Drosophila melanogaster: one gene and its partner. The gene in region 1 interacts genetically with each later gene. Each region holds a gene or a part of one and is shown on either strand. Other genes may lie near its edges.

The links.
Region 2: of par-6 (region 1) and Pfdn2, changing one suppresses a phenotype caused by changing the other (phenotypic suppression), as found in Drosophila melanogaster (one study listed by BioGRID).

What each region holds. Positions count from the first base shown.
Region 1 is NC_004354.4:17,701,631-17,707,745, forward strand, and holds par-6 (par-6), read left to right. Parts: upstream 1-1,721; 5' UTR 1,722-2,020; coding exon 2,021-2,095; intron 2,096-2,741; coding exon 2,742-2,970; intron 2,971-3,037; coding exon 3,038-3,789; 3' UTR 3,790-5,466; downstream 5,467-6,115. Other genes in the region: CG8188 (uncharacterized protein), read right to left, coding at 1-146, 571-579; CG8173 (uncharacterized protein), read right to left, coding at 6,005-6,115.
Region 2 is NT_037436.4:11,072,577-11,076,281, reverse strand, and holds Pfdn2 (prefoldin 2), read left to right. Parts: upstream 1-1,893; 5' UTR 1,894-2,035; coding exon 2,036-2,166; intron 2,167-2,270; coding exon 2,271-2,571; 3' UTR 2,572-2,990; downstream 2,991-3,705. Other genes in the region: Noc1 (nucleolar complex protein 1), read right to left, coding at 1-453, 513-627, 693-1,421; Mocs1 (molybdenum cofactor synthesis 1), read right to left, coding at 3,125-3,705. UniProt on the Drosophila melanogaster protein: Binds specifically to cytosolic chaperonin (c-CPN) and transfers target proteins to it. Binds to nascent polypeptide chain and promotes folding in an environment in which there are many competing pathways for nonnative proteins.

The DNA of each region.
Region 1 (6,115 bases):
CCATCGATCAATGCCTGAATATCCGTCACATCGCTCTCATTGATTAGCACCTTGATGCCTTCCGGTGGCGTGGTTTCCATCTCCTGCAGCTCCCTCATCACCTGCCTTATCGTCTGCGGCGACAGGTTCTCCACATTCGAGTATTGCTGCAAATGGGGGAATGGCATTAGTATGGAATGGCAAAAGTTTATATATACAAAAATTGATTTTAATGACAGGGTTGAGTCATTATTTCTAGTTGGAATTGTACTTATTGGAACATACGAACTTTAAAAATGGATGGCAAGTACAGTACAGTACTTGTAGGCAAGGATTATTACATACAAACTTAACTAACAAAATCACATGTCTCCACAAACAGGGTATTTATTAATGAAATTCATACTCTTAGTATGCTGGAAAGTATTTGTAAGGACGCGATTTTAAGCTCTCACTACTAAACCATTCATAAGATTAAGAAGCATCTGTTGGATAGGATTCTTTACAATCACGGATACAACTTCTTAAGAATCGTTTCGTATTATTATTATTAGAATGCTAACAATTATGTGAGGAACATGCTCATCCTACCGAACTCATGATGTCTGAATTTCCTGCTGCTGTGCGTGTGTGTGTCTGTGTTGATGCGGGCCTGCGCTGGTGTGCGTGCGAATCGCTGTCTCAAGGTTTCAGTTTCGTCAGCTTATTCCTGCAGCTGAGCTCTTCGGCTCTCGGATAGTCGCAATTTCACCGCCTTTTCCCAGCTGCCTTGGAAAAGTGGTCCCAAAATATATGAATATGTGCGTTGTGGGCTGGCTTTAACTATTCCTTTGCGTGTAGACTCCTTATGCTTCCTTTGGCCCCGCTAGTCTCCTTGTCTGTTGTTTGGGTTTATGTTTTCACACGCACTCGTTTAAAGACTATATATATATATGTATTTGGTATAGCACCTCCTCTCGAAAATCTTGATTTTTAGTTTTTCTAGCGACTTAAAATTTTGTTTCGTTGGTTGCTTTTGTTTTGAAATCGATTCGCTCAACTTTGTCGTAGCTGCTGTGTGACCTATCTCGACTCTGGCGTTCACATCTAAACAAATTCAGTTGTCTAATTGGACACTTCACGCTCGACAACAACACACAAAAACAGTTTCATTTTACAGTAACCCTCGTCGCTGGCGCTGCGCTACAATTGGGGCATATTCGTGCTGGCGTCTTGCCTGCCTTCGATTTAAAAGCGGGTTTTTATTTATTTATTTAAAAAACGTCTTTGATTAAAACTGAGCATTTAAATATAGCTAATTCTTGTCTTGTAACAGTTAAGCCTCTTTTTTCGTGCAAACAGCAGCCACTTTGCAAATGTAGCGCATCTGAAGATCCACCCAGCCCACACAAACAAACTGTCTCTACACTAACGCAGCAACATGGCTGCTCAGACTCTATCGATATATCGATATATGCACAACATCGGTTCATGCCTAAGTTACTCTGGGAAATATTTAAAAACAAACAAAGAACATACCGTTATTAAAAAAAAAAACTTATTGTTGTGATAAATTCAAAACCTTTGCTAGCTATATTGAAAACAAATTATTATTATTTCTAAGTCTTTTTAGATACTTTCATTGTTGTTTAAATCTATTGCTTATAGCATATTTGTGGTATTTTAGAAAACTGAAATGGTATATTTTGGTTTTGCATTCCCCACGGTCACTCTGGATCTATTACCATCCGATAACCGATAGTGCCTACCAATATCGAAGTACGATAGTGCCCGATAGGTTCATCCATCCATTTTTTTTATTTAATTAGTTTTAATTTAGATTTCTAACTCTAATTTATTGGCGGCCCCCCACTATCGTCGCTCCCCGCCATCGGTACGCTGCACTTTGGTTCGGTTTCGGTTCGCATCGGGCGTATCGGTTCGATTTCGATCCTGAAGATCAGATCAGAATCTGCGGAACTCAACTGCCGTGTTTTGTGTTGTGTGTGAGGAACGGAGAGGAAAACTGTCAGTGCACTCTTGATCGGGCGGATCGGAGAAAATGTCGAAGAACAAGATAAACACAACGTCCGCAACGGCGGCCAGTGACACGAATCTAATCGAGGTGAAATCGAAGGTGAGTCCTAACTTTCGTGGCCCCCGGATTCCACGCCCCTTTCTGCGGCGCTGAGCTGCTGATTCATGCGCTCAGGAATGGGATTAATAGCTTAAATTGGAGTTCTGTGCGTGGAAAGGGGGTCTTTAGTCTGAGGAGCAATGTGTCTACCAATTTGGGAACTCCTATCTGTTGAGCTCGATTGTGTCAAAGCGGCCAGAGCAGGGATTAATGCTTGGAGTGCGAGGTGTGAGGAGCAACTGGTTTCCATCTTAGAAGCACCCCAAAAGTGACAATTTGCCCTTGCGAATGCATCTTACTTGTCGGAATTCCTGAGCTCTGATATGGATTGTTGCAACACCCTTTATTGCTTGGGCTCTTTGCCTGAAAACCAATCTGTTGCGCCTTACTCAAAAACTACCCTGTTTCGTTCATTTTCTGTAATTTTACAGAGAAGGAAACTTCAGTTATTAATTAGTCAAGGTACAATTCTTCAAGATAAACTCCAGTAATAGCTATAAGGCAGTAGATGTACTGCAATTCAGTGAAGGTCCCATTAAATTAGTAAAATGTCTGCATACAATTGAATCAACAGGTGATGCTGATGAACAAACTATACGGGTTTCAAAAGATTCAGCCCCTTTACTAATCAATACGTATCCTTTAGTTCGATGCAGAGTTTCGGAGGTGGAGCTTCAAGCGAAATGAGGCGGAGCAGAGCTTCGACAAATTCGCATCCCTCATTGAGCAGCTGCACAAGCTGACCAACATCCAGTTTCTCATACTCTACATCGATCCGCGGGACAATGATCTGTTGCCGATTAACAACGACGATAACTTCGGCCGGGCCCTGAAAACAGCACGTCCACTTTTACGGGTCATTGTGCAGCGAAAGGGTGAGTATGGGTATGCATAAGATACAATACGAGCCACTCAACCACAATCTTTTCGTTCACTCTATAGATGATCTTAATGAGTACTCTGGCTTTGGAACGATGAAACCGAGAAACCTCATCGGCAGCATACTGATGGGCCATACGCCAGTGAAGACAAAGGCGCCATCGATATCCATACCGCACGATTTCCGTCAAGTCTCGGCCATTATAGATGTGGATATAGTGCCGGAAACGCATAGAAGAGTGCGGCTACTGAAGCACGGCAGCGATAAGCCCCTGGGATTCTACATACGGGATGGCACCTCTGTCAGGGTGACGGCCAGTGGGCTAGAGAAGCAGCCGGGCATTTTTATATCCCGTTTGGTTCCGGGCGGTCTGGCCGAAAGTACTGGCCTGCTGGCCGTCAACGATGAGGTGATCGAGGTAAATGGCATCGAAGTGGCTGGCAAGACTCTGGATCAAGTCACCGACATGATGGTGGCCAACAGCTCCAATCTGATAATCACCGTGAAGCCGGCCAATCAGCGCACACTGACGTCCACACATCGCGGATCCTTTTCAAGGAACAGCCAGCTGTCCAGTGGGTCACATCACACTAATAATACAAACACCTCCGACGAGATCGAGCACGACGATCAGGACGATATTGTGGACTTAACGGGCGTCACCCTCGACGAGAGTCCAACGTCCACGTCAGCCGGCAATCACAACCATCAGCCGCCATTATCCTCATCACCCTCGTCGCACCACCAGCAGGCAGCCTCCAATGCGTCCACGATAATGGCCAGCGATGTCAAGGATGGAGTGCTGCATTTGTAGGATTAACCCGGCGATACAGCACCTCCAGCAGACGCAGCCAGAACTTAAGCAACGGAAAACGCGAATTCATCGCTGAGAAGTGCAGAGGATTTTCAGTTTATCAGACTTAACTTTCCTTAAGATCGAATAAGTTCGTTAAACTCGAGTCAATTATTTAAAGTTATACAAGTTAGGCCAACTTATTCACATGTACACTGATCGCTTGTATATCGCTCACTTACTAAAGCGACTGTCATAGCTCAACCAGCCATGATTTGAAAAGTCACCTTATAAAATCTATTGGTATTAGCCTGAAAGCCTGATTGATTGAGTAAACAACATATCGGCCATATCCCATTCATTTCTTGTTAATCCTGGCCATTCAAATTTAACGTTCTGCAAAATTTCCAGTCCGATTGTAGGTGAGCAATATATAAAACACGATTGTATATACATGTGTAATCATCATACGACTTTCCTCCATACATTCCACGAAACACTCAAAGTCAAAGAAAACACACCTATTCATTTGCACGTTTTTGAATGCAGTCTCTTGTTTTTATCTTTTTTCCTGGCATATATATATATGTGTATTTAAATTTGTAAGATTTACGTCTTGTTATTATTCTTGCTTGTTGTATTAGACTAGAGTGAGACAGCTAGAGGAGAGAGTGAAATAGAGAGAGGGCATCAAATGCTGAAGGCAGATCAATTTATTTAACTTAACCATTTGAAACGGCAATAATTGTAACAAAATCACATATACGAGCACGAATAATTTATAAAAAAAAAAAACATTCCATTTTATGTACTGTGACAAGTCGGAAAAGCCTAACAAAATTATATTTCCTGATTTGTAAGCCTTGTTTTTAATTTGAGCCGATCATTTTGCGTATATCTGCTATGTTTTGTTTAGCTCAATTTCTTATTTTTTCGGCATTACTCATTATATCTGTTTATTTTAAAAACCATTTGTAATTTTTAACTTTTGTTTTTTCGTCATTGTGTCCAATACTCGTCCAAGTTCTTTGTTGTCATTGTCATCACTTAGAGTTATGGAGAAAGGATAGAAAAACGAGGAGATAAAGTTAACAAAACGTTAAGATACAAACGAAACACCAACAGCGCCTTCGCCTTCAAGAGAGCAATTCGATACTTTTTATATATATACAAGAGAATATATAAACGAATACAATCTATGTTATGTACGTACCCCTGTACACACAATTGAATTGAAGTCTGTGTATTCGCTTTAGTAAAATTGAGAAAACGCCACTCACGGCAGATGGGATGCAATGCGATCTGCTCGACTTGAAGTTAACAATATTAATATTTATGGGTCGCAACGGGCATAACTAACCCCATACGAACGTGTACCCTGGGTAGATAGCAAGATCTAGGATAGACAGCAGCGAATCTGAAACTATAACTAAATGCGTATCGCCGCCCAACCACTCCCCTCATATACCCATTTCACATATACCCTTGCATTATCGAGAAATCTGAACTTACATCGAACAAAAGTCGCCAGAATATCCCGATTTCCAAGCAAACGCATGTATATATATATATATACAAAAGCTAATGTGTATTCCCGCTAAGCAACTGAAAAGACCGAAAAGCAAATCACGAAAGAAAACCTTATATTTTGATGTATGTATTATTATTTTTTAATAAACCTAAGAGAACTTGTAACCGATCTGGTGTGTAATTGGTTTTTTCCTGGGAGGCTATAGCAAAACAATGTAAGTTTATTGTTTATATCACAACCAATTCGAGGCGTTAAAGTATACAAAAAAGTTAAAAATGATATTCGGTTCCTGCATTTATAAACGAAAAAATTGTTTCCCTCTGTAAGCAATACTTTTCAATTCAACTGAATTGCTTTCACTTATTTTTAGCTTACAAAAATCAATTTAAATACATTAGCCGGGCCTTAATCAAAAAAGATCTTACATATACCCTTTTGAAGACTGCGAATTAAAAAACCAGTTAACGATATAGTTTTTGTTCCATTTGGGGATTCGATTTATTCGACCACTCTTTTGCTTGCTGAATATGTACAATTTGCTTAAGTGTGCATTCGCGTTTTGGGGCTTTAACCGTAATTGGTTTGTTCTTACAGGGTAAAAATTATAGCTAATTAATTGTACATTCAAAACAAAAATGAGTCATCTAATCAAATTATATTCAAGAGGAAGATTGTGGAGTTCGGAGGCTGAGAATGATTATCAGTCTAATCGCTTTCTGTCGCAACATTTGCGCCATTGTTCTCCAGGCACTGCCAAATGGTCTTGGCCGCTGGACGATCCTCGCTGAGAGCATTTGTGCACAGATAAAACAGCTC
Region 2 (3,705 bases), on another chromosome or scaffold:
CGGGAGCATAGGCCAACAGCCTGGCTGCTGACACAATAGAGGAGTTCTTATTGTGTTCCTGTCCAGTCTGCAGGCCCTGCATAACGTTCTTCAAGAACTCGTGGTACTGATCCTTTAATTCGCTCTCAAAATGCCAGTACGCGTAAATGCGGCGCTTCTGTTCGTTGCGCAAATTCTCATCCTTTTTCAGCTTTTTCCAATCAGCACCACGTGTGTGCACCGCCAGGAGTTTTCTGTTTGGCGGGAGCAGCACCTCCTGCCACAAATCCGTGAGCACTGCAATCACATCATTGCTGGCCTTGTTGGAGATCTTGCAGAAGCCAATTAAAGTGCTCAATGCTTCCAAATTGCCCAGTGGATTGCTCGTCACCAGAAGGGCGCCCGCATTGGCCCGATCCTTTGCAGTACCCTTGTGCAGAGCGGTTTGCAACCAGCGAGCATCCGAGGGATTACCTAAAGATGAGATAAAAACATTAGTAGGGGTTCCAATTTCCGAGTCGAGAAAGTCTTACGTTTATTAAAAGTTATCTTCTCCGCTTCGAAGGAATTCTTGCAGAGATTGTACAGCTCCAGCTGATCGTTCTCCTTCATGTCCAGCACCTCATCGGTGGACGGATAGTCGGGATGCTAAGATACGATAGTGATAACTATAAATGATTTATTTCCACGATTTCAGTTTAGTTTCAACATACCACATGATACCACTTCTTTTGGGACTCCTCGTCTTCATCTATTTTTGACTGATATTTGTTGTGCTTTTTGGAAATGGAGTCCCCCAGTTCCTCATCACTGTCTCCATCGCTGTCGGATACATTTTTTCCAGCTCCATCCTCATCAAACTTGATTCGTTGGGGCTTTTTAAAGTTCTCCTTGGACTCTCCGTCATCTCCAAACTTGATTTTTTGGGACTTCTTGGTCGGTTCCGTCTTTGTGTTGGAAGAATTCGCAGTTACTTCATCTTCTCCATCATCAGTGAACTTGATTTTCTGAGGTTTATTGGCGAAGTCCGACTTTTGACCATTATGTTTATGGTTGTTTTTGTTGAAAGGTTTTTGATGCACTGCTTCTCTATCCTCTCCAAATTTGATTTTCTGTGGTTTTGGTCCATTTTTATGATTTTGGTTGAACGACTTGGAAGCTACTTGTTCTCCATCATCGCCGAACTTTATTCTCTGTGGTTTGTTGGCAAAATCCGGCTTTTGGTGGTTCTTATTAAAGGACTTAGCACCTTTCGCTTTTCCATCCTCTCCAAACTTAATTTTCTGCGGCTTTTTCACCTGTTCCTTCCCTTCAAATTTTGGCCTTTGTGGGTGCTCCTTTTTGTTTTGTTTAACTACCGCCTCGCCGGAGTCGTCGAACACGATTTTCTTGTTTTTGGGCGGTCCACCGAATTGCACACCTGTGGCCACTGCTGCCGGCATGATTTTATATTTTCTAAAGCTATATATTAGATAAAAATCATTAAATAAAATAAACGGCGTTAGAAACAACTCGCACGTGTATTCAAATATGACATTCACCGCGAAACGTAAGCAACATATGTATGTCGTCTACTTAGTGACGAATTTCATTGTCTTTATGATATTAAAATTTTGTATTTAAAATCTTAAATAAGAGAGTATCCAACTTAGTTTTAAAATTTATAAATTATTCAGTAATTACCATTGAAATGACCGTGACTTTTGATAGCAGGTGGGTTTGAAGTTATATAAAGCTTGAAGTTATTATAATCTGATTATAAGTAAGAATAAAATTGAAATTCTTATATAGAATTACTATTAATTTATAAATTATTACATTAACTTATGTTTAAGTAACTGAAGTTGTGCTATATTTTCTTTTACCGTTACACCATTTTTCCACAATACATTTACGGTCTTACTGCCTTGACGCGCTTGGGATTTGTTAGGACGTTTATCGCATAGTCCTCGTGTTCGGTCTCGTATTTTGAAAGAAAATCGCAGATTATCGCCAATTTGAAGCGATTATCCCGGTCTAGATTTCGAAGGGGTCCTTTTGGATAGCGAACATTGCAATGAGCACCGAATCGGCGAAGCCGGCACTCAGCCAGGAGGCCATTGTGGCCCAGTTCCAACAGCTGCGCAATGAGCAGCGCAATTTGGTCAACAGTTTAAATACGCTCGAAATGGATTTGAGGGAACACAAGTGAGTCACCGGGGGCCCAAAGATGGATGACACGTCTGTTTGTGATTTTGGGCAAGTGGGAGAATCCCTGCAGACACAATGACATAACTCCTTATCCTCCCTAGAACTGTGATAGAAACTCTGGAGGCGGCGGATCCCGAACGGAAATGCTTTCGTCAAATTGGTGGTGTGCTGTGCGAAAGGACCGTGAAGGAGGTGCTGCCACAGCTGGTGGAGAACAAGGATTTCATCGCCAAGACCATCCAAATGGTCACCAATGACCTGAGCAAAAAGGGCAGTGAGCTGAACAAGTTCAAGGAGGAGCACAATATCAAGATTCGCGGCGAACACTTGGTTGCCGAAGGAGCCAAGGGCGACGATGCGGAGGACAAGGCGGAGAACCGTAATGTCCTGGTGTTCAACTGAGAGCGATTGATTACCTCACCACACCGTATTTATTGTGTCTATGTTGAGAGGGAACTCTGCCAGGATTTGCGAGCGATAATCCGCGTTTATTGAACACTTCTAATGTTGTATGTACTTCTAGCTGTAAGGCGCAGTTCGCGAAACGCCTCCAATCGCACCTTCACACCAACACTATCCATCAATTCCCCTCATTTAAACTTAACCCACTCTGGCCACGAATTAAAGATACCTTAAACTTCCGATTGAAATTAGTCATGTGTCTTGTGATTCATTCAAGATCTGAAAATGGATGGACCTCTATCCACCGACTGGAAACAAAAACTATATAAACTATATGATTATTTATCCCTTTTATGCCATTTGTTCTGAAACATTTTATTGGTATGTTAGTCAAATTAGTTTCCTATAAGGAAGTGATTTCATCTACATTTTTACACTTATGTATTCTTGCTTCATAAGTCTTTTAATTTAATATTTGTGGCTAAATCAAGTAAGCAGTAGTTTATTTTCCATTCCCCGTATCGTGGTTAATCCGGTTAGTCGGGTATTCGACTTATTCGACTTCTGTAACTATCCCATTTTGCGGCTCCTCCCTCTGGAAGTCCCTTTTTCCGCCGGATTTGCTTAGCAGGCGGACATTTGTGATGCAGATATCGTGAGAAACAGCCTTGCACATGTCGTACACAGTTAAAGCGGCCACTGAAACTGCAGTTAGTGCCTCCATCTCGACTCCAGTTTGGCCCGAGCAGCGAACGGTTGCCTCCAGCCGCACAGATTGTTCGGTTTTCAGAAGAGTGGCCTGCACTTTCACGGAGGACAAGCTGATGTTGTGACACAGGGGTATCAGTTCGGCGGTTCGCTTAGCGCCCATTATGCCAGCAATTTGGGCTACGGTTAGAACATCTCCCTTGGCCACTTGATTGTCGGCTATAAGTTGGGTAAGTTTCTCACCCACCTGAACGGTGGCCTCTGCACGAGCTAATCTTGTGGTCGAAGGTTTTGCGCCCACATCCACCATTTGGGCCTTGCCCTGGCCATCGACATGGGTGAGTTGGCTGTAATTTCGGGCCTGAAGCTGCAGCCTTGAAGTATGATATGCGTGGTGATACGAATAAGGATGAAGATGATGATGGA